Linked DNA regions of Arabidopsis thaliana. The protein of the gene in region 1 interacts with the protein of each later gene in a pairwise test. Each region holds a gene or a part of one and is shown in the gene's direction. Other genes may lie near its edges. The genes, in order: AMT2, AT1G31990, ATBET12 and PFA-DSP5.

Region 1 (8,709 bases):
TATAATTTTGTGAATTCGATTTTGTATTTAATTATTTTTCCTGGAAACTGCATCACGGTATCAAAAAATTTAAAATTCTTCATTTTTTTGTTTTCTTCTAAACTCAAATAACGTCTCAACTATACTAATATCTTTCTTATTTTCTTATAATTATTAATTTTTTTTTTTTTTTTTTTTTTGTTGTTGTTGTAAATAGTCTTACTTATACTAACTAATTCATTCATAGACTGTTAGTCCCGATACATGAATTTTATCTATATCGATCTTTGTAATCGAAATGTTTGTTTGACGAACTAAGGCAATCTAAGACTACTAAGAATATGCTATATATAGAGCCTAATTTCTATCACACTCATCTTAGCCTTTGGTGAACAATAATATAGAATAAGTGTTACTTGTAATTTGTTGGCATGTTAAGGGTATAAACAACAATTTATCTCATTTATAGGAGTAATAGTTTTCTCCCTCCATGGTTGATATTAATATGCATCCACATATTAAAATATACAACTATTTATATATAGAGCTGTCTATAGTAGAAAAGGGCCGAAATCAATTAGCTGTGAACAGAAAAGAAAACTTTTTAACATATGCAACAAGATTTAGGTGAGGGTTTGTCTACATGTTCCGGGAAGAGAGAGAGAGAGAATCAGAAGTGTATCTTGATCTAGGGTTCACAGACAAAATCTCCATGCTTTGAACTAAGCAGAATTCATCTGGTCTTTTATCTCTTTCATATCAAACCAAAGGATTGATCTATCCATATCGTCCAAAACCTATATCTAGCTAAGCCTAGAACTTCTCTATCGTTTACCACTTTCTTTCTATATTTCTTCTGAATTTGTAACATCAGAAGTAATAATGATTCCAAGTATGGAGGGAGGCGGGAAGACTAACAGAGAAGAAGAGGAGGAGGAAGAGGAAGAAGAAGAAGAAGGTGAAGAGAGTAAGGTTTCAAGCAATAGTACAGTGGAAGAGAGCGACAAGAAGACTAAGGTTAGGCCTTATGTGAGATCTAAAGTCCCTCGACTCCGGTGGACTCCTGATCTTCATCTTCGCTTTGTCCGCGCCGTTGAGAGGCTTGGAGGTCAAGAAAGTACGTCCATAGCTACTAACTTCATCTTTCATCACCTCCTCCACATATATATAAAAGCATAAGCAATTTCTTAGTTATTCTTAGGTTAACTATTTGGTCAAAACCTCATGTGATTTTCTTTTTTTTAATGTGTATGTTTGGTTATGTATAGGAGCAACTCCAAAGTTGGTTCGTCAGATGATGAACATCAAAGGGCTTAGTATTGCTCATGTCAAGAGCCATCTACAGGTATTTGATCTACATACATCTAAAACGTACCTATATATGTGTTGTATTTTCGATTTCGTTTCAAATAATCTCTGAAATTAGAAAAAAAAAGAAATCACTAAATTGTGTATTGGAAAATTTTAGATGTACAGAAGCAAGAAGATAGATGATCAAGGTCAAGGTATTGATTCTTTCTATTTGTGTTCATTAGTTAGTTATCAAGTTATACATGTATAGGCCAATAAAGTGGGGTTTGAATTGTTGGCAGCTATAGCTGGTCACAAACATCTCTTCGAGACTTCCACAGATCGAAATATTTATAAACTAAGTCAGCTACCGATGTTCCGAGGCTATAATCATAACCATGATTCTCCATTCAGGTTGATATAACTTTTTTTTTTGAAAATTTTAGATTTTATGTGTTCCTTAATTTGAATGATATTCCGTTTTAATTATATTTATTCGGAAACTAAATTAATTGTCTTCTTTTGTTTTTGGTAGATATGGAAGTAAAATTTCAAATGCTTCTTTGTGGAACTCTAGCTCTCAAGGAACAGAAAGGAGTTTGATAGACCAAATTAGGCCCGGTTTAATCCGCAACGCGTCGGTTAGCAATAACATCCGTGGTAGTGATTATTGGACTAACAACAAGTCTTTCCAAAACATCTACTCTTCTTCAATTTCTAATCACTTTCCGAAACTACGACACGATCATCACGAACGGACCAATTCAGTCACATTCAACAGCATTCAAGGACACTCAAGAACTTTTCAAAAGTTCCATAACGGTGTTGAGGAGAACACTAATCATTCTTATTGTAGCAAGACAAATGGCAAAAGAGACGCAAGTAGGAGCATTGATCTTGATCTATCTCTTAAGCTAAGACAACCGGAGAAGACAATTTTGGAAGAGACAGAAACAGCAGCAACAACAACGGATCAAACGTTGTCCTTGTCGCTATGTCCAGGGTCGTCTTCGTGGAAAAAGAGCCGACTGATGAAAGATGAAGAGGATCGGACGGTTAAGATTGGTCAGGAGAGTACTCTGGATCTGACTCTATGAATTATATTTAAGAATGAGACAAATTCTAAGTGAGATCTTGAGGTACTTACCGATATCTTAATATTCAGTGTCGTTGTTGTTTATCATTAATCATGTATTTTCTTTATTATTAGAAAGGAAACAAAAATGTTTGATTATATTAACGGTCTTGAGTTTGTTTGATACCGCCAATTTGTATCATCACATATATAAACAAATATTACTAGCCACATCATAATGATTCGATCTTTTGTCTTCTCATAGCAATATACTATATGAAAATTACATATACATATAACAACAAATTTACATCGATTAGAGTATCTCTGCTGGTGAGCTTCATTCATTTGTAGATGAGACTTTTACGTAAATAGTACAAAAATTTTGGTTTCGTATTTATCCGAACAGTACATGGACAATTTTGTAGTTCCAAAACATGTTATAGTTAATAGTAGTGTTTTCAATAATTTCCAAAATCCATCTTCACTCATTTTTCCCTTTTCAGAGACATAGTGAAACAATTTTACACTATGCAAATCCGAAGCCAATTATTTTTGAGGTTTTTACTATATGTGAACAAGATTAATACTTAAACAACAAGACACACCTCGTTCTTTGTAAATATTAAAGAGGTTAAAGATCATAATACAAAAAAAAACATAGAAAAAGTTCACAAATCATCAAATCTTTTGAGTTCATTATTCTATATAAAATTTTATCTCGTGAAATGTTTATTGTATAAGGATGTGATTAGTTGCAAACCAAAAATTAATGTTTAATAGTATTTGATAGGGAACTTATTTCAACTGTGTAAAATTTTCCCGGTAAAATTTTCGTTCAATCAGTCGATTCTAAGAACATGAATCTTATTGAATCTCTAATAATTTATTGTATAATATGGTGGCACCTATACGTCAATACGATAATGACGTCGTTAATAGTAACGTTGAGAGTTGAGACTGTTGTATAATTTTGATTCGACGTGCCAAATACTACGTTCGACCAAGTATCAATTTTGATTTTCCAAAAAGAAAAAACAAGAAACTTAGGATCTCCGTTAGTTTGATTGGATACACTGATACTGTTTCGATATTTAGACAAACAAATGGAATCTTTGCTTCTTAAACATTCGATGCGTGTGTGTACCTGGTCAACTTCTTCAGACTTCATTATCAAACATGGCCGCACGATCAGTTTTATTTTGCTACTGGAGAATTAACTTATCCACCTCAGAATCTAAACTAATTTCTGAAACTATATAAGTGTTTTTTGGGGCTAAAAATAAGATGCATGAAGTGAAAGTATCCTAGTGGTTAAAAAGGGGTGTAAACATAACGTTTAATGTTGTATCCCTTTATATGTACCTCTAATGTCCCTCTTTATTTACTTTTAATGATTTTTAAGACTAAATATCTTCAGTTGAAGTAGGTAATCTTTTTGCCAAATTAGTCTTCGCAATACACGGATCGATTTCCTTATAAGATATTAAATTTAACTCATTCAAAAAATATTAAATTTGCAATGACTTATAAGATAAATAAAAACCAAGGTCCATATCTTATCCCAATTTGTTTTTTTTTTTTGTATACCAAATTTGTCTCCTATATTGTTTTTATATGTTTATATTCTTTCTCCTAGTAATTTACACAAAGAATTTAAGAAGCTTCATTGAAATATCAAGACTAGAATTGAAGAATGAGAAACATATCTATCAAACCTCGAAGACTTTTCTCCATCAAAATGTGCAAACAAAACACCAAACCCAACTTGTGTCTTGTCTATTCTACACACATTATTATAATTAAAGGCTTTCACACCTACACAAAAAAAATTCGTACCATTGACTATAAACATCACAAACCCAACAAAAATTTCATCAACTCCGGGAAAGATAGAATAACAAAATGGCCGGAGCTTACGATCCAAGCTTGCCGGAGGTTCCTGAATGGCTCAACAAAGGAGACAACGCGTGGCAGCTCACGGCAGCGACTCTGGTTGGTCTACAGAGTATGCCAGGTCTTGTTATCCTCTATGCCTCCATCGTCAAGAAGAAATGGGCTGTGAATTCAGCTTTTATGGCTCTTTACGCTTTCGCCGCCGTTCTTCTCTGTTGGGTTCTCCTCTGTTACAAAATGGCTTTTGGAGAAGAGCTTTTGCCGTTTTGGGGCAAAGGTGGTCCAGCTTTCGACCAAGGATACCTTAAGGGACAAGCAAAGGTCTTGAATTTGGTTATGCACACAAAGTGTTCGATAAAATGCCTGAATGAGAATTTGATTTGATATTTTTTTCTTACAGATCCCAAATAGTAATGTGGCGGCGCCGTATTTTCCGATGGCGACGTTGGTGTATTTTCAGTTCACATTCGCGGCGATAACGACGATACTTGTGGCGGGATCTGTGTTGGGGAGGATGAATATTAAAGCATGGATGGCTTTTGTGCCATTGTGGTTGATCTTTAGCTACACAGTTGGAGCTTATAGTATATGGGGAGGTGGGTTTCTGTATCAGTGGGGAGTTATTGATTATTCCGGCGGTTATGTTATTCATCTCTCCTCCGGTGTTGCCGGTTTCGTCGCTGCTTACTGGGTACGTTTATTACATAAAATATTCAAGTTCAGAGTTTCTTTAGTTTGTTAGAGGTTAGTTTATTTAGTTAGGGAAACTATTAAATTCTCAGGCTATTGTTTGATATTTGGGTATTATTACTAGAAATATAATGAAAGATTGAAGAAGATGTTTGTTTGTTGAAAATATTGGAATTAATTAATGTACGGTAGTCGGTAGATGACATAGTCTCAAAAAAAATTCTTAAGAAATAATTCGATGTAGACTGGTCTTTAATTGCCAAGTTTTGTTTTGCTTTCTCTTTCGGTATGATTACGTATTTAAGGTCCATAGTTTATAGATAAGTAGTAAGTTCTATGATTGTTTGGTCCACTAACAAAAGGTTACTAATTTCCAAGTACTAAGATTAATTAAATCAAATCAATTTTGGATTTGACAACACGATCTTGATCTATATTGTATTAGCAAATTAGATAATTTAGTTAGAGGAGAGTAATCGAATAAAGTAACGCTCCAATATTGATCACACTCAACTGAAATATCTATTTTTGCCTAATAGTAAATTCACAAAATAATTGAGGTTGATTCCATTTTTGCATTTTATATCTTATAGATATGTATACACTAATTAATTTGTTTTTCTTGTATTCTGCATTTTGTCGCACATAAGCAAAATGGTAAAAGTCAAGTCAATTCCACTGACGACGACATAATATTCCACATAGTAAATATATAAAATCATGCAAAAGAAAATGAAATTAAATGGTTAGTTAAAAAGCAAACACTAGCTAGTTGAGAAATACGATTTTCTGACATGATGTTATTATAGGTAGGACCAAGGCCTAAGGCTGACAGAGAGAGATTCCCACCGAACAATGTTCTTCTAATGCTTGCTGGAGCTGGACTTTTATGGATGGGATGGTCCGGTTTTAACGGTGGTGCTCCTTACGCGGCCAACTTAACCTCCTCTATCGCCGTGTTAAACACCAACCTCTCGGCCGCCACAAGCCTCCTTGTATGGACTACACTTGATGTCATCTTCTTTGGCAAACCTTCTGTCATCGGAGCAATTCAAGGCATGGTTACTGGCTTAGCCGGCGTCACTCCCGGAGCAGGTTTCAGTCATCTTCTTTTCAAGTTTTTTGTTTACTCTAAGTCTCTAAGTTTATTTATGATTAAGGTTGAATTATGTGGAAACTTATTAATATTGCATTGTTAATTTATTATACTGACAAATAAGATATCTATTGCAGGTTTGATCCAAACATGGGCAGCTATAATAATTGGAGTAGTCTCAGGAACAGCTCCATGGGCCTCTATGATGATCATTCACAAGAAATCCGCTCTCCTTCAAAAGGTAATTTAGATCATAAATCCCATTTTAATTTCATAACCAACAAAAAAAAAAAAAAAATGTTTTACCTTATTAGAAAAACGAAAATGTTTCAATTGTAGAATTAAGGTATTAGTAATAACAAACGAATGATTTGAACTGTAATATTTTGATTGGGTTGAAATAAACAGGTGGATGATACATTAGCGGTGTTTTACACACACGCCGTGGCTGGTTTACTTGGTGGAATAATGACAGGGTTGTTTGCACACCCTGATCTCTGCGTTTTGGTACTTCCTCTCCCAGCGACCAGAGGAGCTTTCTACGGTGGCAATGGCGGCAAACAGCTTTTGAAACAGTTGGCTGGAGCTGCCTTCATTGCCGTCTGGAATGTGGTGTCGACTACTATCATTCTACTCGCTATTAGGGTGTTCATACCATTGAGAATGGCTGAGGAAGAGCTCGGGATTGGAGACGACGCAGCACATGGGGAAGAAGCTTATGCTCTTTGGGGAGATGGAGAGAAGTTTGATGCTACAAGGCATGTGCAACAGTTTGAGAGAGATCAAGAAGCTGCTCATCCTTCTTATGTTCATGGTGCTAGAGGTGTCACCATTGTTCTATGATTTTTCTTCTTCTTTTTCTTATTTATTTTTTGTGTATTGATTTCCTTATGACATTAGAGATGTGAATGAGTTATTTGTGTTCTGTATAGGTGGTAAAACTTCACTTTTCATATTTTTTGGTGTGTATTTGGAGTTAACAACCATTTGTGATTTTGTTGAAATGAAAACATAGAGTTCGTGAACAAATGTACCTTGTAACCATTTTAAATTCAGTTAAAGTAATTTCCTCAAGTCATTTGGCTAATAAGTAATTTCCTTAATCACTTTTTCCTTGGGCCACAAATAAAAAAGAAAAGCATGAGACTGAGACCATGTAATCTGGACTCGAGCTAACATTAGACCCATAGTTCTCTTGATATTTAGTGCCAAAGGCCCAACACCTAGTTTTCTTAAAATGATAGTGTTAACCTTAATTCCCTTATTTCTTAGGGATTTTGATGTGTTAATGTTTAATGAAGAACTTTCTTCCGTTTTATATTTTGTACAATATTTATGAAAATGATTTTTTATTTGAACAAACTAAAAAATATGAAGAGTTTTCACTTTCACGTATAAAAGCAAACATAAAATAAAATAAAAAAATTGGACAGATAAAAACAAAAATTGGTGTCTGAAATAATTGAACACTAATGAAGAAATTATTTGTCTATAAAACTCTGCCCCTATAATTATCAGCACTTTTAGTTTTTAGCCATAAAGGTTTCAACTTTTATCAAAGACCCAGCCTTTTTGCAAGTGGCGTGGTTTCACTCGTTGGGCCTATAAATAACAACTCAACCTCGACCTCCCACCATCGCCACTAAAACGAAATCGTGGTCTTACTCTCTCTTCTGAGTTCTGACCTGAGCACACACACAGAGATTTTGATTGTGTCACTCATGGAACCCAATATTTACCAACTTGCCCTCGCGGCTCTATTCGGAGCTTCCTTCGTTGCTGTTTCTGGGTTTTTCATGCATTTCAAGGCACTGAATCTAGTCCTTGAGCGTGGTAAGGAGCGTAAAGAGAACCCTGATGGAGACGAGCCTCAAAATCCGACCTTGGTGAGGCGGCGGAGCCAAGTTAGAAGGAAGGTTAATGACCAATATGGTCGCAGTCCTGCTTCTCTTCCAGATGCCACTCCTTTTACCGATGGTGGCGGCGGCGGCGGCGGTGATACAGGACGGAGCAACGGTCACGTTTATGTCGATGAAATTCCTCCTGGTCTCCCTAGGCTTCATACGCCATCTGAAGGTATGAGAACCAAACCTGAATTGATCAGATTAGATTGTGGATTATAAAAATTGATCCTTTAATCCTTTGATGATGCTGATAGATAGTTTGTGATTGCTTTTTTTCAGGGAGAGCTTCTGTACATGGAGCTAGTAGTATCAGGAAAACTGGAAGCTTTGTTAGACCAATATCTCCGAAATCCCCTGTTGCTAGTGCTAGTGCTTTTGAGAGTGTGGAAGAATCAGATGATGATGATAATTTGACTAATAGTGAGGGTTTAGATGCTTCCTACTTGCAAGCTAATGGTGACAATGAGATGGTGAGTTTCTTTATTTATCATTACTTTTTCAATCCCTGTTCTGTGATTGAATAGGTGGGTTTACAAGTAAGATGTTTTTTGCAGCCTGCAGATGCTAATGAAGAACAAATATCTATGGCTGCTTCAAGTATGATTCGATCCCATAGTGTGTCTGGTGACTTACATGGAGTTCAGCCTGATCCTATTGCTGCTGACATTCTTCGTAAGGAGCCAGAGCAAGAGACCTTTGTCCGTCTTAATGTTCCTCTTGGTAAGAATGGTCACTTTTTGTTTCGTTCTGTCATCTTGCCTTACTTCTGGTTCCTGTAT
Region 2 (6,958 bases), on another chromosome or scaffold:
GTACAAAATCTCAATGCAAAGTATATTAAAGAGACCTAGAGTATTCAAACTTCGTGCGGATGTATAGACCGATCTTCCAAAAAAAAAATATACATCCATGCAAATATTTTATTTGAGTAGGAAAGACCCTGAGAACGTGAAGCAACAAGCTGCAAATTATATAAAGATAAAATTTAGTGCTAGCAAATGCAACTCCAATTTCAAATGTCATTTGTCTTATTCCGAGCGGATTCAATGGACAATGGCTTGTCAAAATTGTTTAAAACTTTGAAAGCAAAACAAATTTATTTTTTGCGTTTTTCAAGTGATATCTACCTTACAATAGAAATTCACAAGAAAAAATCTTCCAATAGGCAAACAAAATAATTCTTTATTCAATGTTTTATTTTCAATACACAATGGAGTCTCAACTCCTACACACTTCGAAACACAAAGCAGAGAAGGAAACGTGGGTTTAGCCCTCAGAGATAGGAACATAAAGCCACTGTATTATTTGCAAAAGAAAACAGAAATAAAAGGGAAAACGAGACTTAGTCATATGACTAAATCAGTCTTCCCTGTACTTTTGGGTTGCGCCCTCTCCTTCTTCATCTTTATCTTTAGTACGCTCAGCTCCATGCCTAATTCCTTTAAGTGTAAGGCCTCCTCCTTCTTTCATTGTTGCATCAATAGTATAATAATATAATATAGATCCATCAGATTGAACTATCCCTAAATGATCACTATTACATTGTATCTTGATATAATTTATATATATATTTATATAAATACTTATTGTACTCCTCCATGAAAAAATTCCAGAATCTGCAACACCAGAATTCTTGCCAATAATATCATTAAGATAAATAGTCTGATTCGAACCGGTGTACTTCAGCCGATATCCTTTAGAATCATCTGCTGGATCCTCTATATTAATCTTCGAATACGAATCGGTAGTACTGAGAGAATTCGAACAAGAATTCGAACGCATCCCAACCAGGTGTCGATCCCTAATTAGTATCCAAAATATGAACTCATCACGGTATAAGGAAGCAAGACACGTACTCGCTTTATTATTATTTTTCATTCATGCTAATTTTCTTACTTTTATATGTGCCACAAATAGATACGGACCATCTCTTCCGATTTACTAATATGACTCTGTGAGTTACATAGATAAGTTGGGATAAGTAGGGAGCGTGCGTTGGTTCACTCCGAAAACATATCGAGTGGATCAACAAAATCCCTTTGGCAAACTGTTACTCTTATTTTGGCGTCAAGCTGGTAAGGTGTGCCTTGTACGCCCATATATGCTAACATTTCCTCCCGGTTTTCATTAATCACATTGTTGTGGAATTCCACTCTCCACTTCCCTCAACACAAAGAGTGGAGAGCAACTATTGGAAATGATAGTTTGCCAATAATACCGCGATGTTTGACGTTGCTTCGTCCGGATGATTCCCAAACAAGGCGTCGAAGCAGCTTCCCTTCCCAAGGAACGGTCATTCCACAACCAAACCAAACTTATAATTTATATTTATTTATTATTATTTTTGTTAATTATATTTATGAAAATGACCCAACTTCCAAATTATGTTTATTTAAAATAATCCAACTTACAAATAATACTCTATATAGAATGACCACGAATAATTTTTTTTTTATTCTTTCTATAATATAATATTCTATATAGAAAGACCCAACTCACAAATTATTTTTATTAAAAATGACCCGACTTACAAATTATTACAATGAAAAAAGACCCATAGCCATAGGTTGGTTTACTCTCGAAAGACTGTCGACTTTTTTAACTCAGCCTCGCCGGGAGACAAAAGTATTAAAAACTGTAATTGACTTTTCAAATGCTGGTTTCTCCATTTAATATAAAGTATAACCTCAATAAATAATAAAGTATAACTTTCTAATTTTGATATTTATTAATATATGAATATAACAGTTTACATCGATTGAATTAATTTGATAAATAATATTTTTAATTTTTTTTTGCTAACTATCATATTGATGCATTTCTCTAAATCTTGAGTAAATGATTCATTCATCCATAAAATGTTAGTTATAAACAATTTACACCAATTGATTTTATTTGATAAATAATATTTTTGGTGCTTTTTCTAATTATCATTTTAATGTATTTTTTTAACTCTCGAGTAAACGATTCATTCTAAATTTTTCAGTTACATTGTTTAAAACTTATTTACAATTACTTACATTTTTAAAAAAATTGTTACGTTTAAAGTATTTTTAAACAAACAAAAACGTAGTATTGATTTAGTATAATTAAATATTAAATTCACTAATATTCATTGTCACTAATCATATATATATATATATATATTAAAATATGAAAACATGAAATAAATTCTTGTCATATTATTGAAGTTTTATACTTTAATTTATTTCTTTAAAATTTCATTGCTTTTATGTTTATACATAAATTTATACGACTTATACAACTAAATTTAAATAAGTTTATTTATATTTGAGTTTAATATACTTTGTACCTAATTAAATTAGAATTATTTAATTAATAAGTTAAAACATGTCAAATTTTTATATAAGAAAAAATTCATGCATGATTTTAAATTTTTAAATAAATTAAATTGTGTTGATTTTTTTAAAAAGTCTCTTTTATAACTAAAAAGAAAAACTCTCTCTAGCACTAATATTGAGGCAATAATCCTAATAGTTTTCTCCAACGCTGGTGGAGCTTGGGCTCGCCGGCGTCAGAATTTCTCTCCTCCTATTTGTTCACTTTACAAACTTTTGTTTTTTCTTTTTATCTTCACTTTAATTTTCATATTCATCAAACATTTCCCTCTTTCGCCTTTTCCTTCTTGAAAGCTTCAGAAAGTTATGACAGAGATCGAAGTTGGCATCCGGCGAACTCTCTTCCTCTCAATCTGCTCACGTGTATGCTATCAAAAGCGGTTTGCATCCATACGCCGGCTATCTTTCAAATCTGAGATGGCCACTCTTCGGGACGGAAAGATGCTTCCCCGTCGTGTTTAGAAAATATCTTGATAAGGCGATGTCTAGTATCTAGTCCTAAACGTTTGGATATCTATTCAATTCCGGATAGATCCATTTGATTCTGAATATTGTGGGTAAATGAGTTTAGGATGCATCAGTATATTTTAGAATTTTAGTTTGCTTTTAGATATTTTCAGTTTAGTTTTTTCCTTTTGGGTATCCAAAATAGTGATTCTTTTTTTTTTTAAATGGTTAAATTTGAAGAAAATCTGGTTAATGTTTTGACGATATAACTAAAAGCTTGGGGATATTTTGAGTATTTTGACTATTTTAGTCTAAAATAATTGATATCTTTAGGTTTTCATTTAAAATTTTGGTTAATTGGGTTATATCAATTGCAATTATAATTGATATTTTGGATATATAATAATATTTATCGTATTTTGGGCCGTGTTCGGTTCTGGTTCTAAAATCTGTTTTGATATTTTGTCAATCAAGTTTGATTAGATTTCTCTTTTTCGGTTCATTTTAGTTTGGTTTTTTGGTTTTAGTTTTTTTATTCATGCCTAGCGGTATCATTGACAAGCAAAATATCACTTCCAATAGTTGCTATCCACTATTTGCTTCTAGGGAAGTGGAGAGTGGTTTACCACAAAAATCTTTTCTGCCAAAAATTCTTAACCTTGACAGAATGGTAGTGTATTTGCTTACATACTCTTACCAGGTTGGTGCCAAAAGAAGAGTAACGTCTAACCAAAGTTATTTTTCTGCTTCACTCGATACATTGTCTGAGGGAACCAACTTACAAATTGTGTTAGTTTAACTTTGATGCAAACAAAAAAAAAAAAGAAAAAAACGAATCAAATTTTGTTTGTTAAAACTAACCCAACTTATAAATTAGATTTATAAAATGATTCAACTGACGAATAATATACTATGAAAGAAAGACACAACTCATAAATTACTCTAATTAAGAATGACCCAACTAACAATATTTATACGTTGGTTTACGCCAAATTGTAATACAATCGCTGCTCTCGGCAATAAGTATCTGGTGCATGCTTCTGTAAACCGCTTCTTCTCTCTGAACGACAAAGAAGGCGATTACCCAACAAAGCACCCTTTCGTTAATTACTTTCTGGCCGGCGTCGTCTCCGGCGTCGGCCATACGTCCTTTCTCTTTTGTTTGCAGTTTATTTATTCAAACATCTTCTTCAGTCCAAATTAATGATGGGGGTCTCGAGATTGATGATGAGAAGAGATGGGTTTCACCTACACTTAAATCCACGGTGCCTGTCTCAAATCTATTTCCCTGACTCGTTATTGAGTCATTCTACCCACCACCATATAAATTTGGTTTCGATTTCACAGAGTCATGTTGGAAAGGCACATCCCTTGAAGATGGACCAAATGCCTCGTCGGTATCGCAACCGTCGAAAAACACTCCGCCTTGCTACAAATACTACTCTCTCTTCCATAATTATGCGATTTTGTTGGCTCCTCGTAGCCATCTATCTCTCTTGTAGAGCGTTTTTCCGACGTCCACTACTGTGTTATTGTCGGCGTTCCGTCTCCGATTGCGTTCCATCTTCTTCTTGTAACCAATTAGTGATCATTGGTCCACAAATGAAGTGGCGTTCTCGGCAGTTGTCATTTTCCTCCGCCAAATGGTACGGAGATGTAATTTGGATATTTGATCCTGGTATCATTGGGGCTCAGATTGACAATGAAGGCGACTTGAAGAAGTGTTTCATACAGACACTGTTTCATAGCACCGGTTCGAGACAATCCATAAGGATATGGTGGAGAGAGATCATGTTGTCTTTGATTCTACGAATATACCTCGACAAATTTTTGCCTTGGATATCATTATCGATCAAGGAAGTTGGGGAGTCATCAGTCATTAACTTCAGCCTTTGGGGATGTCTACATGGAACGAGATTTAGAAGATGGTACTCACCATTTCAAAAGTTATCAGCATTGGCTATAACCAAGAAAGATGTCATCTCCTCTAGTTGGAGATGTTTTAATGGGATGCGATGTAACAGATGGATCGCAACCAATAATCGTTTTAAAGTTTATTGGAGTTTCGTCAAAATGATGATAGCCAAACACAACGATCATGTAGGATTAAGGAAGAAGACGAATAAGGAAGATAGTGGATTTGATAATTTATTAGCGTGTAAGGCTTATCAAAGAAAGTAGCGTTTAATTCACTTGTTCGATTGTATTTTCTTCTTAAATTTTAATCATTTCTTGGTTGTATGTGTAATGTCTGAGGAATAATTATGTAATCTCTGTTTCAATTTTAGTGAAGTAAAGCAAGATGTTAAAACAAAAAAAAAGACCCTCGCATGAAGACAAAAGTATTATAAATCTATTGATTTTTTTTTTACATTGTCAATATATTACTGGCCCTCTAAAGTCGTTTCGCTATGTAATTATATTTTACATCTACAATACTAATTAATAATTTTGTTTTGTTTTGTTATTTTTTGTAGAATTATAAAGAGGTCTTCAATATAGATCTGTACATCCTATCAGAACAAAGACCAAAATATATATATATATTTTTTCTTGGGCAAAAAGTTGTTTTCATTCCATTAGGTTAACACCCAAATACAAAGATAATAGGATGATAAGATCCCATAGATTGAAGTACAACAATAAGGGACAGACCCCAAAGCTACAATAAGAAGGATAGAAAAATACATAAGGTTAATCAACAAGAAATTGACCCCAAAGCTACAATAAGAAGGATAGAAAAATACATAAGGTTAATCAACAAGAAGTCTTTGAGAGCTTTGGGTCAAAAGCAAACATGCTTTATGGAACCTGTGAGATCAAAGTTTGTCGATAATTCGAAACAACGATTTAGATTGTTTCTTTTTAATTGTTATTTGAACCAACAATTTAGATATTTTATCAATTAAACTATTGATATTTAATTGGATAATAATTTTGGCCAATTTCGATCTGGTTTTTGTTCGGTATTCAAAATTTGCAAACTATAATAAAATGCGGCAAAGTCATAGATATTGTAAATATCTCATATGGGGAAAGAACTATATATAATTTTTGTGAAAATGAGTTGATAAAAGATTGAAACATTTAAAAGAAAAACTTATAGTTTCATCTCCCTTGAATTGACTATTATTGTGTTGATTATGGCTTTGAATGGTTGTGTAGTATGTTGCGGATCAGAATAAAATCGGATTACGTACTTAATTCACTATTTACCACTGCAGACCAGTATATACTATTAAGACTAAAGATCTTCATACTATAGTAAATATTCTATAAATTAATAACCTCTATAAAGAAAGTTTTCTAAAAATGACAAAAATCGATAAATTAATAGATAATCATAAATTTATAATCGTATAAACTTATCCATATATGGAACCTAACAATTTAGTGAGATATGACTTTGTTTTTCTTAAAATCATATATATGAAAATTGACCAACTCTCTCCGTATAAGTAACACATCATCACACCAGTGAGTACCACATGTCATTTTAAATTAATACAATTAAAAATTAATAAAACTTAGTGATTAAAAATAAACAGTCTCACATTGCATTAAATCATCCATCAATCCCACTCTTAACTAAATATCTTCAGAATAAAAGAAAAATACAAAATCATGTTAATGTATCACACTACTTTCATTCTACTTTTTTATTTTGCTATTTTTAAATAGTCATTATTCGATAATAACTAGAAGTTTTTCTTTTATTGCAGCTTAACTGTTTGATACTTCGCATTTCTTAGTTTGATAATTTTAATTTAGTATTTTCTTATTATAACATTTTTTTGTCTACATGATATGACTTTTTTGTGCCTTATGATAAATTGGTAATATTAACAATGACGTGCACGTTTTTTCAAGTAATGGTGTTTTGAGACGTTAGATTTACCAATGAATTTAATACACGATACTATTTCCAATATGGCTATATACAAATGCAAAAAAAGATATCTAA
Region 3 (7,838 bases), on another chromosome or scaffold:
ATAATTTTAGTTACACATGTTTTTTTTAATACAATTTATCTTTATAATCGTTTTTTTATATATTTTATTATCGGATGACTCAGTAAGTCTCGGTAAAAACATACCGAAATGCTACCGAATATACTACTTTCGATCTAAATAGAATTGTACCGTCACACTATCTGATCTTCATAGTCGTTTCCTCGTCCGCCTTGGATGTCCACTCACATCTCGTTGGAATTAACGACAGAAGAAGAAAAAGCATAGCTCAAGTGTAACAAGAAAATATGTGTTTATTGTTTGGTTTTTCCATCTTCGTTACTGACTTATTGTATTGGTTTTACATTCAAAAAAAAAAAAAAAAATGGTTATTTTTGTGTAACACTTCCTCTCTCTATATACAATGTTGTCTTTTGGATTAATTCCCCACACCATATAAGGTTTCTCGTGGGTTGTCTAATTCGGTTGAGTTTGGTTGATCAGACTGCACCCGTTTCTCATTCTATCTTATGGCGATATATACGATTATGGTCATATGACGTAATTTGGATATTATAAATAGATGCATGATGTGACATATATTGCTGATGCTAGTACGATTATCAAGTATGAATTACAAATATTCTAGCTAATATAACTTATCAATAGTTGTATTGATATGGTTATTAATATTGTTAAAATTTCAACTAAATGAAAAATAAAAAGACGTAGGTTAGATTAATTATGTTTTATTGGTGAGAAACAAATACGTGCTTAGTGAAATGGACGTTGACTTTTGTCGGCAATATTCATATTTCAACCATTTTTCTCCCAACAAGACAATGAGAGTTTCTAGAGGTTGTGAGTGGCCAAGTTATTTGCCGTTAAATCAACCATCCGACAAAGCTCCGGATACAAACTCTTCCTAATGGTTGCATACACCTCACCATTCCATTTCTTAGCGGCCAAACTTTCTCCAAGGCTCACTGTAGCCTCCACCACACCTTCCGCACTATCATGCGCCGCTGAGTCCACGATCCCGAGAGCCACCGCTTCTTCTCCTTTGAGCTTCTTCCCGCTCAGTAACAGCTCCCTTCTCGCGATACCTGACCCAACCTTAGCCACGACCAACGCCGAGAAGTAGTCCGGCACCGGTAGCCCGATGTCCACCTCGCTCATATATAGAACCCCACGGTCTTTCCTCATGAAAACGTAGTCGTGGCTCAGCGCAAACATCAGCCCCGAGGCTGCCGCGTGGCCGTTCAAGGCGGCGATCGTCGGCATTGGAAGATCGAGGAGGGCGGCTAACACCGGTTTAAAGGATTTGACCATTTGGTGCATCCGTTTTATAGCACCGTGTCCAGCGGATTGAGCCCACGCGAGGTCAAAGCCATTGGAGAAGAACTTTCCGTGACCGGTAGTGATGAGGACGGATCCTTTTGTGGATTGAGACTTTGCTTGTTCAAGAAGCGAGAGAACAGAGGCGATCGTGTCGGGGTGGAATCTGTGCTCGTCTTCGCCGGTTAGGGTTAGGAGAAAGAGATCGCCGCGCTTCTCTAACGTACACATGGTGCGTACGTTAAGGACTTACTGATTTAGGATGGTACAAGAATAAGGAAAGAGTTAGTAGAAAACTGTGATATAGAAGTGAGTGTTGAGTAATTAATAGAAGGGAACCCAACTGTATATTTATTAGACGTGCTTTGCCACCGAAGTCTTTAAATTGGGTAATCTTCCCAACCATTTTGGTGTCAATGTTATTAAATGCAGACGAGACAAATGTGTATGAATGAATGTGTGACTTTCTTGCTGAAAATGATAATTGTAACTGTTTGTCCTTGGACGTAATTACCATTTTGTTCTTTCGCAGCTATTGGCTAAATCAATTTTGGTTTCCTTGTCTCCACTTGATTAATATTAACAACCTTTTTTTAGTGCTTACACACTTACAACTGTTCGTATGATTTTTTAGATATCTTGTCATGGCTTTTGAATCTATGAACTTTATTTTTGAAGCATGATTGATTGAGATCTCTGCTTTAGCATTACTCATGGACACATTCCATAAGAGACCGACATGAGTAGTTAAATTAGTTCACTAACTCTTTAAGTTGTGCAAACAACATTAGTTAGGTTAATATTAGTCCGCCAACTCTTTAATTTATTAAATACACAAGCTACATAGAAAAGAACAGTGTCTTTAGATCCATACTTGACCAGCCGGTCTAACCGATAAAACTGTTAACTAGACATATAACAATCATTATTTTACAAGATCCTATAATTCAAATACATATTCAAATATTTATTTAATATGCAAAGATTTTTATTTTATACCGAATAAATACTAAGATTTATCTTGTTTATTGACTTTTATTTTTAAAAAATTTTATACCGTATTTATGTCCGATCAGAGCCGTCCATGAACGCAATAGGACCAAATTTATGCTTGCGGCCTCAATTACTACAAATAAAATATTGACCTAATTTTTTTATAACTTTCAGTAAAAACGTTGATTATTTGATTCTTAGATACCTATGGTCGTCAAAAGTTTGAGTCCATCTACCTTCATTTACCTTGTTATTTTTTCATTTTCACTCATTAAAATAGGTCTAAATTTTGTTCTTTGCTTGCAATCTATTAAATACTAGAGACGGCTCTGTGTTCGATTAATGACACCACGATGGGACTTATAATACAAATCAGTATACTCATATATTACAAGATCATGTTAACTTTCTTACTATTTATATTTTGGTTAGCAACATGCAATATGCGGGTTTGAATAAGGCCATAAGGGTGATGACACACTGACAACACTAACACAAACCATTGGATTACATTTTTTTGTTCGTGTAGAAGTTAATCAGGCGGCTAGTTGACTTGACTTGGCCTGAAAAATGCAAAAACCTCACATATTTAAGCACATCGTGACATGGTCCGATTTTTGCTTTCTTTTGTTTTGTGGCTTAGATTGTAAAGCTCTGTCCGCACTAGACTCAACTTACATATTCATATTCATATTCACCTCTGGTCCATATATATTATAAAAGTCCAATAGAACATGTTCACGAGAATCTGTATAGGTAAACCTCATCCACCATTTAACATTTCATGAACATGTTTGACTTCCATTAACAAGATCGATGTCTTTGTAATTTAATATTAAAAAGAACTTTAACATAAAAACAAGCATGGAAAATTCAAAAAGAATTGGTCAAAGAGTATTGCCAAAACAAAAATGTAAAGAAACGGGAAAAGGGAAGATAAAGCAGCTAATTTTCTTTCTCCAACTCTGACCAATGACCATATCCAAGCGTGTATGTAATGTACCTAGTCAACATGTTACAAGTCGTGGCCCTCCTCACCTTATTATATATGTCATCTACATAAACATCAGACATCACACACCAACATCATTATTATGTTCTTTGATACAAAAGTACTCAATTATCCTACAATTCACAAATCTATCTCCATGGCGTCCACGATGCAAAGAACAAGCAGCTCCGCGGCCAGTAACGAGAGGCAACTTAGCCAGCTACAGAGACGAGCTCCGTCTTTAATGATCAAACCAACGTCTTTTAGTAACTGGAACGTGGCGATCCCTCTCCTTTCACCGCTCGCTCCTTCTCTAACATCATCCTTCGACCAATCACATGTTCCTCCGCCGCAGAACAAGACTGAGATACCAGTGGAAGAAGAGGTGAAGAAGACACCAGTTTTCAAGAAATGGCAACATCCCGCGTCGCCGTTCTGCTACGAGCCAACAACGTTTGTCCCACCGTTCATCCAGGTTTAGAACGGTTCATCAAAATTTTGTAGATTTGATGACTCAGCTACCAGCCCCGTGTGAATTTTGTTCCTGTGATATTACACGCGGTTAACTATTTTTCACGTTTTTGTATCAGTTTTATCCTCTAAGAGATAATATTATTCACTAACAAAGTATTAATTCAAGTTCTAAATGGGTAAAAAAAAATGCATAAAACACATGAAACAAAATTATGGGAAAAACATGGAGAAAATAGTTGCATGAATTCTTTAAATAAATTGTCAAATTAACCCATCATACATCTAGGGTTGGACTTTTCTTTAAAGTTCATTTCTTCAAAGTGTTCACTTTTAACAAATAAAAAAACTAACTTCATGGATTCAATATGGGCCGAACTAAAGCCCAGTAAGCCCAATTCAATTTAATTCTATTTTCTTCTTCTTCTTCTAGGGACTTGTAGTACAGTAAGAACTTTCGTACGTTTCTCGCAAACAAAACACGAAAACTTACGCTTCTGGAATTGAATCCAAATCGAGAATTTCCTTTACAATGCTCTAAATTCGTCTGTTATGTTGAATCCTTCGTAAGAGAGTAGAATCGAAGACGAATCAAATGAACTTTCGAAGGTTTGATCTATTGATCTCTTCCTCTGCATTCGAATCCTGTTTTTATGTAGATTCATCAATGTTTAACAAATGATATTGATTCTGCTCTCGATCGAATTTGATCTAGATCTCTTCACAATCTCCAGATTCACTCTTTCTGAAATCTTAGTTTTTTGAATCACCGACATTCGAATTCCTGATTCTGAGTCATTGACCTAATTCTAGAGTTCTAATTACAGTTTTCCAGATTTTGAATTGAGTGTATCCAACTAGAATTGGAGAAAATTGGATCTGATTAAGAACCAATGGTTTTGATTTCTGTAGGGAGAATCGTGCTTCGAGAACGTCTCTCTTTGATGGCCTTGATGGACTTGAAGAAGGTCGCTTGAGAGCTTCTTCTTCGTATGCTCATGACGAACGTGATAATGATGAAGCTTTGGAAAATCTTCAGGACAGAGTTTCGTTTCTCAAGAGAGTATGTTTCTTTCATCTATATAACTAAAGAATCAAAATATCAACACAAGCATAAACATTAGGATTAAGAATTGTGATTCTTTATTGTGAAATGGATGGTGCTACTGATCCTTATTGTTTGAGAAAGAACAGTCCCTTAAGCACTGCTAAGTCGAGACCCTAAATGTATCTTTCGAGCATCGAACGATGATCTAATGCTTTCGAAAAGTCTAGATATAAAGAAATTGAACTTAGTTTTTAGTTCCTAGATATGTATTGAAATTGTAGATTAAGAACATTCTCTCCAGCATTGCTATCACTAGACCCTGTATAAGTCTTTCGGACTCAACGACAAGGATCGAGCTATGATGTAATGCCTTAGAAAAGTCTAGTTATGAAAACAATGCCTTTTTTGTTTTCACTCTTGTCAAATCTAGTTTGCAATAACGCTTGCCTGAGATGTAAGTTGGTAATAATATCTTATCAGGTGACTGGAGACATACATGAAGAAGTTGAGAATCATAACCGCTTGCTTGACAAAGTGGTAAGCTGAAAGTTTGATTTCATCTGTTTCAGTTTGTAGATCTCTATCACATGCTTTTCTTCTAAGCTATTTGTTGTTGTATCTCTAGGGGAACAAAATGGACTCCGCGAGGGGGATAATGTCGGGAACGATCAACCGCTTCAAGTTGGTATGTAAATAAGATTTCGTACCTTTTATATATGCATCACCCCTTTTGTTTTTCGCTATCAAAACTTATATCTGAATAAAACTCGATTTTAACACGACAGGTCTTTGAGAAGAAGTCTAATCGAAAAAGTTGCAAACTCATAGCTTATTTTGTGCTCCTGTTCTTGATCATGTATTACCTTATTAGGTAAAATACACTTCTTCTTATAGTTATCAAAACACTTGACTTTTCTTAGGGACTGGTTCAAGTCCTTGTTCTTTGACTCGAACACTGACAATCTTTCGGATTTTGCAGGCTATTAAACTACATCAAAGGGTAAATTTGGATACAAGAAGAAAGTAGAGTGTTAAATGAATAGTTTCGTTTGGGACTTCCATTTTTGGATTTCTCCTGATGAATGAATGATTCAGACATAGTAAACAAGTCAAGGGACCCTATTGAAACCCTATTGAAACCCTATTGAAACAAGACAAAGAAAGAGATTGTGAAGAGACTAGTGAACCAACCGAAAGAAAAAATGTTTGATAGAGACTTGTTTGTCACAAGCAAAATCATCTCATGTCATTTCATGTAATGTAGCAAAAGCTTCTTTATCATTTGTCAACTATTTGATCTTGGGTTCATGTTAGCAGTTTTGTCTACAAAAAGCTTAATTGATTGATTGATAAGCTTAATTATTAGCTTTCTGTGAAAAAAAGTTTAGCACTTTGTAATAAAAACAAGATAACTTGGCGTCTTGTTTCCAAAAATTTCCAATTTTCAGAATTTTAAGGCGCAAATACCGTCCTGTATATTGACATTTTGCTAAAGATCCAAATACGTAACAACATGAGAAATATCATTTTTGAACGACTCGCAACAATTCCACAAGTTGACAGGACACTACTATGCAGAAGAGTTTGATTTTTTTTCCACTTTAGGTAACAAGTTGACAATAATCGACAAGTTCATTTTTGGTTTGGTAATAGACAACAAGTTGACATGTACATTTCCAAATGGTTCGGTTTCTAGGTCAAATCATCTTAACAATTATGTAAACTATAGTCTTAAATGTTGAATTTACGAGTGAATAACAGGTTGCTATGCTAAATAGTAAATTTCTTGAAACTACTGTTTAGATAAATAGTCAAATAACCATGAGTTTTAATATAGCTACTAGAGGATAACATTTGAGTTCTGGCACAATATATAGAAAAAAAGTAAAAAAAAAAAAATGTTACCTTATTAAATCGGGAGTAGTTTTTCAATTTCTTCTGATCTTTTAGTATATGCTAAAATACCATGTTAGTAAATATGAATGTGATTTTTGTAAAATAAATATATTATAACACAACAACAGATGTTATGCTACATATATTAAACAGGGTGCTAGATTATAAACAAAAGTGTTTTGGATTCACATGAAAAATATGTGTAATTATTTGAAGAAGTTAGATATATAGATCATTCAAAAAATAGTAAGCTACATGGTTATCTAATATACTGTTGGTAGTGAATCCATCAACCTAATCGTGACATATATACAATGTACAATCGAAATCGTTTCTAAGAAAGCCGACGAAATACTCAGCCTTTAGAAAGACTAGTATACGACATGTCCTACCACCCTAATTACTAAGAGAAAAAGATTCATGATGCTGCGGGAAATGACTTGCTTTCTTCAATTAACTCTTCATTCGAGCTTTGGTTGCTCTAGCTCACAAATTATCGTCGTAGTTAATTGAATATTTACAAGGAGCTGACTAAAAAATTAAATGTACATGCACATACATTGGAGCACGCCCACCATGGCTATGCTAAGCATGCTCTCTTAGCAGAAGTGACACCTCTCAGAAGCTATTGGGCCATAACAGAGTTATGACACGGGTCATATCCGTCAAAAGCACATTGCTTCTAGAATGCGAGGTATGATTGCTAAAAACACGATCGACAAGGAACTCAAGAACATCAACTTGCATATTGAACCTACATACATGCCGTATATAGGCATGTGCGAGGAGTATTAAGGATATAGGACTGGTTAACTTCGGTTATCACTGGTTTGGTTGAATGTGGTTTACTAACCACAATAATCTTATGTATATAAGTTTAATCTCGATTACTTTGTTAGTTAAGTTGGTTGTAACAACACTTTAAGCTGAATAAGAAAAGTTGTTATCTTCTTCTTCGTCTCTCTTCTCCGATCTTGAATCTCCGATGTATCGGATTTTATCATGGTATCAGAGCACAATATATTGATTCCGCGTTTGTTGTGTTCATCGGGAGAGAGTTTCATTTTCGATTTCTTCTTTTGATTCTTTCGTTCGCTTATGCCATTCGTTATTTTTCCGATTCACCGGAGTATTTTTCATTCT
Region 4 (7,502 bases), on another chromosome or scaffold:
AAGAAGAAAAAGATTGTATTTTTAAATTAAACTTTAATTTTTGACTAATTACGTACCGAATAATATAAAGTCGTAAACTATATATCTTTTTTGTTCAAAAACATTGGCATGATTGTTTCAAGTCAGTCATTAATGTTAAATCGAATGGAAAAGACGAAGTGTTTGGTGAAAATCTAATCGAGAGATTTACGTTTTGGGGGGGGGGGGGGGGGGGTTTGAGTTAAATTTATTAGGGTTCACTTTTTGCTTAATATTTACGTTTTGTTTTCAAAGCCTTTTTTAATAGTTTGCAAAAACTATATGTTTCATGAATTAACAAATAAAAAAATGTATTCATCCATGATTTCATGATAAATACCACTAACAAGTAACAACAGTATCAAATGGTTGAACAAGCAACGACTAAAAAATAGAAAAGAAGAGGGGGAAAAAAGATGGCCTTGCCATCATAACCATTTGATGATTAAATTTTGCAAAAGAAGACGTTCAGAAAAATTAATATAGATTGCTTTGATTCCAAGGGGATGTAACAACTAATGTACATTTTAATCATTTAAGCCATCATTATACATACATTATAGAGTCTTTGAGTATTCATTATGAACTCCATCGAATATTAAACTGTTCTCCATATACTAAAACTAATACACAGTCCACAGAAGTAGAGTTAAACTTTAACTATGAAGTACGTAACTAATTTACAAAATATTGATTGACATAATCTTTTTCGACTGCTATAATTGACATGTTAAAAGTTTTTTTTGTTTTTTTAGTACAACTCACATATAATATGCATTTGGTGTAATAACAAACGAAATCTAAGCCAGTCACAAAACTCAATTCCTATACTCTATACAGTATATTGATAGCAATATACAAATATCAATATCTAATTATCCATATTATAACATTTTTGATATCAAATATATATATATATATATATAGTGCAAATTATACGTCACAAAGAAAACAGTCTACCAAACAGTAGTTGAGCCCAAAATATAAAATGAAAGCTATCACTTTCTATTCTACCGCAACTTCATATACACACGTAAACATCATTGTAACTTCACAACAAAGTCAGCTAAACACATAATTCACGACCACAACCAAATTATATTCCAACAAAGATTACAAACAAAACAACAACAAATTACATCAAAACATTTGGTGGGTTGTCATTTTCATCGTATATATACATATACACACATACTCTTATATATAAATAGAAGTATTTTAAAAGGAAAGGCTTGGTAGAAAATGAGAGATAGAATGGAGAGACTTGTGGTGCTTCCTTTCTCCATCGGATGTATCTCCGTCTCAAGTGTTGCCGTTTTGTCTCCTCTCTCTAAGCCTCATCATCATCACTCTCGTCAAGGTTCATTCCCTCTCTCTTTTTAAATATCATGTATATATATATTGAATTAATATCTCATGTATCTTCTATTGTGATATATACCTTGATGTGTTTTCAAAAGTGATTCGTGAACAAGAGGAGGAAGATAACATGAAGAATGTATTCAAGTTCCTTGCGGTTTCTAAACCGGAGATTTCTATCGGTATTAACCGGATTTTCAAGAGCTTCAAGACCATTTCTCAACTCTTTGGTAATATTGTACTCTAATGTATGTTACGAAATTATACCATTTAAACGTATTGGCAAATTTTAACATTTGCTAGAACCACTTTTACATGTTTTTGGTTCATATAGATCCTAGTACATGTGTCCTCACTCTTTAACATTTATAAGTTGGTACTATCTTTTCTTCCAAAAATGTTATAGCTGACAAAGATGAAGAGAAGGAAGAAGTCGAAACATCAGGAATGGAGATAGGAGTTCCAACGAACGTAAAACATGTATCGCACATCGGTTGGGAAAGCGGTCTAACCGCGGCTACAGGTCCTGGTAAAGGATGGGAAGATCTCATACCGCCGGAGTTGCTTGCAGCCGCTGCTTCAAAAAAAGAAATTAACCCTCATCTTCATCCAACTTTATAATCCACTCCCTCTATTTTTATTTTATTTGATGTTTTGTTTAAGAATCTAGACATATTGATATATATATGGTGAATCTGATCTATGATATAAACTATGTTATGCGGTAAATATAATCGTTATGTAAATATTTTGTATGTTAATCATAAGATATGATATTAGTACCATACATTATCAACAAAATGAATATTGATATACTCGGGGAGCTGGTGAATATTAACTCGGGGAGTAGAACTTCTGGGATATGGTGAATATTAACTCGGGGAGCTGGATTTGGAAGAGTATTTGCAAGCTTCGTCCAATGGCTCGGGAGTTTGTGGTTTGCAAAGTCGGTTCGGGGATCACTTGTAATTTTTGGAGTGAGAATTGGACTAATTTGGGACCGCTTATTCATTTAACAGGTGACTTGGGACCTAGAGTTTCTGGTTTACCTAGGAATGCTTCAGTTGCAGATGCTTTAAGAGATGGGGTTTGGTGGATAAATGGGTCTAGGAGCAGGAACCCAATTATTCAGCTGTTAAAGAACTGTCTCCCTCTTTCTAGTGTGGTGAACCTTCAAGTGGATGCTGAAGATGATCTGTTCATGTGGAAGGTTGGGGGAAGTGAGGCTTCTGTTGGTTTCTCCTCTGCTGCAACGTGGATCCACTTAAATCCTGTTGGGGAAAAGGTTGATTGGCATAAGGCAATTTGGTTTAAAGGCAGGATTCCCAAGCATGCTTTCATCTCTTGGGTAAATATCAGACACAGGCTGCCTACTCGTGACAAACTTCTAAGCTGGGGACTTCATGTTCCATCTCTCTGCCTCCTTTGCAATGCTTTTGATGAGACGAGACAGCATCTCTTCTTTGACTGTGTGTTTGCAGGAGAAATCTGAAATCACTTCACTTCTCGGGCCCATGTTTCTCCTCCTCCATTGTTTGAGGATGGGGTTAGATGGCTTAAGAATCCTAGTCGGGACAAAAATGTGACTACGATTCTTAGGATAGCCCACCAAGCTACGGTTTATACTCTTTGGAGGGAACGGAACACTCGTCTGCACACTTCTTCTTCGAGACCTGCTGCTGGACTGATTATGGAGATAAAGAATCTTATTCGCACTCATCTTGATCCTCTCTCACGAGCTCAACGTATTGGCCCCAATGGTTTATCGTACCTCGCCACTTGGTTCGGTCTCTTTATTTGATCATGTGCTCTGTTTTACTTTTCTTTGTTGTTTCGTAGGTGTTACTCGTTTTAGAAGTACTGTGTATTCGATATCGTTTTATAAATGAAGTAAAAAAAAAAAAAAAAAAAAAAAAAAGAAAAGAAAAGAATATTGATATACGTTAATCCAAATTAACTTTTAGAAACAGTTGAATCATATTGTGGGGTCATCATAACGAATCTTTGATCTATTAATAGAAAATTCTAAAAATTGACTCTTTAAGTCAAAATAGGAAATTTCCCAATCGGTTCAACGAAAAGTTGAAGGATGTAACAACGTGTCATAATCTGGTGAGAGATTACAGCGAAAACAAAACATTCCCTTAAAAACCTGAAGAGGATCCAACAAGAACAATCTCTAATGGCGGTTTTTCAAAGGTTTAACAATTTTTTTCCAAATCCGAAAAAATCTCTTAACAAAAAAACTCCTTAATCTTCGTCATCTTTTTGTCTCTTTTTAAAAAATAATTAAACCCCACTTGATGATTATCCCATTAATCATTTAAAGGTTTTTTTTTTTCTTTTTGTTCAACGAATCTCTATCTCTCTCTAGATTTTGGGGATTTTGCTCTCTCTCCCTCTCTGTCTCTCTTTGGTGCTCGTAGCTTTCTGTCTCCCAATTGAGAGAAGGAGGGAGATAGAAACGTCGATGGGCTTAATTGTGGATGATGATAACGATGGAGAAGTTTTGATTCCGCCGCCGAATTTTTCAATGGTAGAAGATGAAATTTACCGATCTGGGTTTCCTGAGCTGGAGAATTTCGGATTCTTATCAACCCTAAATCTTCGATCCATCATGTAAGATTCTCTTCTTTCATTCTTCTGAATCTTTTGTTAAAAATTAAAAAAAGAAGAAGAATCTTTTATTTAATAACGCATCGTTGTCGTTGTTTATAGATAGACAGATTCCTTAAATCACCACTTTCACTTTCATGGCTTTTATTAGTTAAATGTCAAAAAAATGTGGGATAATTATATATTTGTGTTGTTGAAATTTGACCCACGCAGAAAGATTTGATTACAAAAACGAGTTTTGTTTGTTGGGTTTGTCTGGAAACAGTTATCTGTGTCCTGAGCCATACCCTGAGGACAATCTCAAGTCTCTTGCATCCAACAACATTAAGCTTTTCCAGTTCGGGATTGAAGGCAAAACGGTATGATTTTCTAACCTTTATGATTCATTCAACAACAGCAATTGTATTGAATCTTTTTGAGTTCTTCTTCAAGAACATTTGACCCTGTTTTTAGTGTCTTGTTGGCTTGTAGCATTTGAGTTGATGAATCTTATAAGACCTTTAAGAAACATATAAATACCCTGTTCTGTTCCTGTTATAGCTTCTTTGATTTCTGAGTTTGGATTGTTTTACTTTTACGCCAATAGGATCCTCCAACTCCTATGCCAAAGGATACAGTGTTGAGTGCTCTTAGAGTACTAGTTGGTAAGGAACCAGAAGAGACTCTTTGATGTGTTGTCGGCTTTTCTCTTTTAGCTGTCTCATTAATTCTTCTGTTTTTGCTAACAGATGTTCGAAATCATCCAATTCTTATCCACTGTAAGCGCGGAAAGGTAACCAAACCAAACCCTTCTCTTCCGGTTTAACAAGCTTTAGGTTAAGTTAAGAGTGATTTGAGTCCAATGGTGCGTTTCTTCTGGCTCATTGCAGCATAGGACAGGTTGTCTTGTGGGATGCTTGAGGAAAGTGCAGAACTGGTGCTTGTCATCGGTTCTCGAGGAATACCAGAAGTGTGCGGGTTTGAAATGGAGACAAAGAGATTTAAGGTTCATTGAGGATTTCGATGTGCTCAGATTGAAGCAATGTCTATACAGCATCATATATCAGTACAATGGGTATGGTCTCAAGAGAAGAAAGTTGCTGTATCAAGAAGAGAATGTTGTTCAAGAACAGCAAAAACCTCAAGCCACCAAAGGATAAAGAAAGAGATTTGAAATCGGATTTTTTTTTGTTTCTTTACATTTTGTCGTGATGATGATGATGATTTTTTTGAGAATAGGATAGTTCTTTAAAAAGCTTGAGAAAACAGAGGATTTGATTTGGTCTCTCTCTATCTTTTTTTTACGGTTAGAGAAATTTACAGATTGATTCTTAATTGTTCATAAGAAACTAACATGTGTGATGTGAGCTTTTGTTTTCCTATTTATGATTGAGTAAAGGCAATTGAATTCAATTCTTTTCTTCTTTCCGTGGGCTTTGTTTAAGCTTATTTCATTCGTGGGCCATAAACCATATATCCAAGTCAATGTTACGTAGTCGATTTTTGGGCCTCTGCCTTTGTTAAAAACTTATAATAGGTCGACGTCTATAAACAATTAAACATCATCAAATCAGAATGATTCGTCGTAACTAGTCTAAGGAAAGGAAATGTATACCAATCCCTACGCAAAGTATAGCAATTGAGTTTAGACAATCATATTTATCATTTTCTTGAACAACACACAATTATATGTATCAAAATACATGATGTTCAACTACATTTATTCCAACCACTAACAAAACCAAACACGAAAAGCTATGAAGTATTGATTCTGATTACTCAAGTTGTCATAGATAAAATAATCTGCACTCGAGTCCATTTTAATTTTGATTTGGATTCGAAAAAACCACATGTGCACCATGAAGCTGACTGAACAAGGACAATGGGAATTAGAATTAGAATCTTTCTTTTTAAAACGAGAAAAGGAACAAAACTGAATATAACTTGTCCAGATGCTTTGAAGGCTTGAAAGATTAAAAAGCAAAAGCCAGTTTATGCAATGAATACACGACATCTAAGCTTTTCAGACAACCAAATCAAAGTACATAATCTCTTGTTTGATGAGTTGCAGAAACTTTCACTCTTTCAAAGTACAAAAGCCAGTTTATGCAATGAATACACGACATGTTTCTCTAAGCTTTTCAGACAACCAAATCAAAGTACATAATCTCTTGTGTGGTTATAACATGAGTTGCAGAAACTTTCACTCTTCCTCAAATCCCCACGGCTTCAAACAAAAGATACGCTTACCAAACATGCCTAATCAGAGACAGAGATTTAACAGAAGCCTGTAAAGTTCCCGAACAATCATATGACTCAAAGAACAAAACCAAAACTCTTCATCAGAATCACCAAAAAGACTACCTTGTATTGTCTTAATGAGCTAACATGTCTGATCAAAAACAAAGATGCTGATTTTACGAGCAGCTTGACATGATCCAGAACAACCAAAATTATCCAGAAACAAGAATCAAAAGAAACCAATAAGTTAGAAACAAACCATTTAATAAGAAAATATCAGTTACTTTTTTATATGATCATAACATAAAAATACGAAGACATAGAGCATCATCAACGCAAGTTTATATTCTCACATCAAAACACCATTAAAAAGACCACAAATTTCAAATCGAAATTCGATACAATCCCAAACCATCTTCACTTCACTTCTTAAGGCTTCCTCTGATTCCAGGCTTAGGCTTAGATGATTCAGCAGGAGCAGCTAAAGCCTCATGAAGATTCCTCGGCTCTTCATAAGTCAGCTTTGGATGCTTCGATTCATGATGGATCTGCATCGTCTTTAGATCCGGTACAGTGATCTTGCAGTGAGGACACTCGTACTTTGCGTGACCACCTTTCTCCTTACCGGTTCTATCGGCGAGCCCTGCCTTTCCTCCACCGCGATTGGTCAACGCTGCATCGGCTTTAGCTTGGAGCTCCTTCGCTGTGTGCTTCTTTGGCTTTGCTTTGCCTGTCATCGTTGATTGCTGCGGCGGCTACGAGAAATGAGAAATTCGCAAGGTTGGGGAATTGAAAACCCTAACCCTAATTTTGCGATTTGAGAGAGAACGATTTGGGGGCTACGGAGTTTCGATGCGAGATTATTTATCTTTAGTTAAAAAAAAGTATTAAAATAAATAAAAAAAGGAATATTTTCCTATTTCCTGAAAAGGTATTTATAGAGTGTAGTACGGTGCATATTAAGACTTTTGCGCCCATTTTCCTAATATATATTCGTTCAAATCCACTTGCTTTATTCTTTTTATCGCTTTGCAAATTCAAACATAAAAATAGTAAAGAATTTTATGACCAAATGTATGAATTAAATAATAATAAATAGACTGTACATTTTGTACATTCATGCACGACTAGACTTTTTTGTTTCGTACATGATCTCTAATAGAGCTTTGACAAAAAAAAATGACCTCTAAGAGAAAATTAGAAACTTATTATATCTTATTGCAAAAAGTTAAGATTTTAATCCATTTGGGTTTTGATTTTTCTGGATCAATTATCTCTATTTTCCAGTA

Evidence for each region.
Region 2: the proteins of AMT2 (region 1) and AT1G31990 interact in a protein complementation assay, tested with the Arabidopsis thaliana proteins (one large-scale study listed by BioGRID).
Region 3: the proteins of AMT2 (region 1) and ATBET12 interact in a protein complementation assay, tested with the Arabidopsis thaliana proteins (one large-scale study listed by BioGRID).
Region 4: the proteins of AMT2 (region 1) and PFA-DSP5 interact in a protein complementation assay, tested with the Arabidopsis thaliana proteins (one large-scale study listed by BioGRID).

The regions. Positions count from the first base shown.
Region 1 is NC_003071.7:16,037,832-16,046,540, reverse strand, and holds AMT2 (ammonium transporter 2), read left to right. Parts: upstream 1-4,019; 5' UTR 4,020-4,249; coding exon 4,250-4,561; exon of another isoform or gene 4,562-4,640; coding exon 4,641-4,931; intron 4,932-5,739; coding exon 5,740-6,025; intron 6,026-6,163; coding exon 6,164-6,267; intron 6,268-6,434; coding exon 6,435-6,869; 3' UTR 6,870-7,111; downstream 7,112-8,709. Other genes in the region: AT2G38300 (myb-like HTH transcriptional regulator family protein), read left to right, coding at 862-1,096, 1,248-1,324, 1,448-1,484, 1,572-1,683, 1,805-2,366; FAC1 (AMP deaminase, putative / myoadenylate deaminase), read left to right, coding at 7,748-8,102, 8,210-8,400, 8,485-8,650. UniProt on the Arabidopsis thaliana protein: High affinity ammonium transporter that may play an important role in moving ammonium between the apoplast and symplast of cells throughout the plant. Does not transport methylammonium.
Region 2 is NC_003070.9:11,484,008-11,490,965, forward strand, and holds AT1G31990 (uncharacterized protein), read left to right. Parts: upstream 1-3,994; 5' UTR 3,995-4,197; coding exon 4,198-5,175; 3' UTR 5,176-5,311; downstream 5,312-6,958.
Region 3 is NC_003075.7:8,306,136-8,313,973, forward strand, and holds ATBET12 (Target SNARE coiled-coil domain protein), read left to right. Parts: upstream 1-4,183; 5' UTR 4,184-4,346; coding exon 4,347-4,360; intron 4,361-4,663; coding exon 4,664-4,814; intron 4,815-5,279; coding exon 5,280-5,336; intron 5,337-5,424; coding exon 5,425-5,484; intron 5,485-5,584; coding exon 5,585-5,670; intron 5,671-5,778; coding exon 5,779-5,803; 3' UTR 5,804-6,249; downstream 6,250-7,838. Other genes in the region: HCD1 (3-hydroxyacyl-CoA dehydratase 1), read right to left, coding at 811-1,527; AT4G14450 (uncharacterized protein), read left to right, coding at 3,384-3,761. UniProt on the Arabidopsis thaliana protein: Required for vesicular transport from the ER to the Golgi complex. Functions as a SNARE associated with ER-derived vesicles.
Region 4 is NC_003076.8:5,378,964-5,386,465, reverse strand, and holds PFA-DSP5 (Phosphotyrosine protein phosphatases superfamily protein), read left to right. Parts: upstream 1-3,526; 5' UTR 3,527-3,847; coding exon 3,848-3,996; intron 3,997-4,258; coding exon 4,259-4,352; intron 4,353-4,579; coding exon 4,580-4,637; intron 4,638-4,721; coding exon 4,722-4,765; intron 4,766-4,862; coding exon 4,863-5,132; 3' UTR 5,133-5,397; downstream 5,398-7,502. Other genes in the region: RIC4 (ROP-interactive CRIB motif-containing protein 4), read left to right, coding at 1,261-1,378, 1,479-1,607, 1,784-1,998; AT5G16486 (RNA-directed DNA polymerase (reverse transcriptase)-related family protein), read left to right, coding at 2,240-2,869; AT5G16470 (zinc finger (C2H2 type) family protein), read right to left, coding at 6,636-6,950. UniProt on the Arabidopsis thaliana protein: Cleaves the beta-phosphate at the 5-position of soluble inositol pyrophosphates. Has highest activity on 5-diphosphoinositol 1,2,3,4,6-pentakisphosphate (5-InsP(7)). Possesses low phosphotyrosine phosphatase activity in vitro.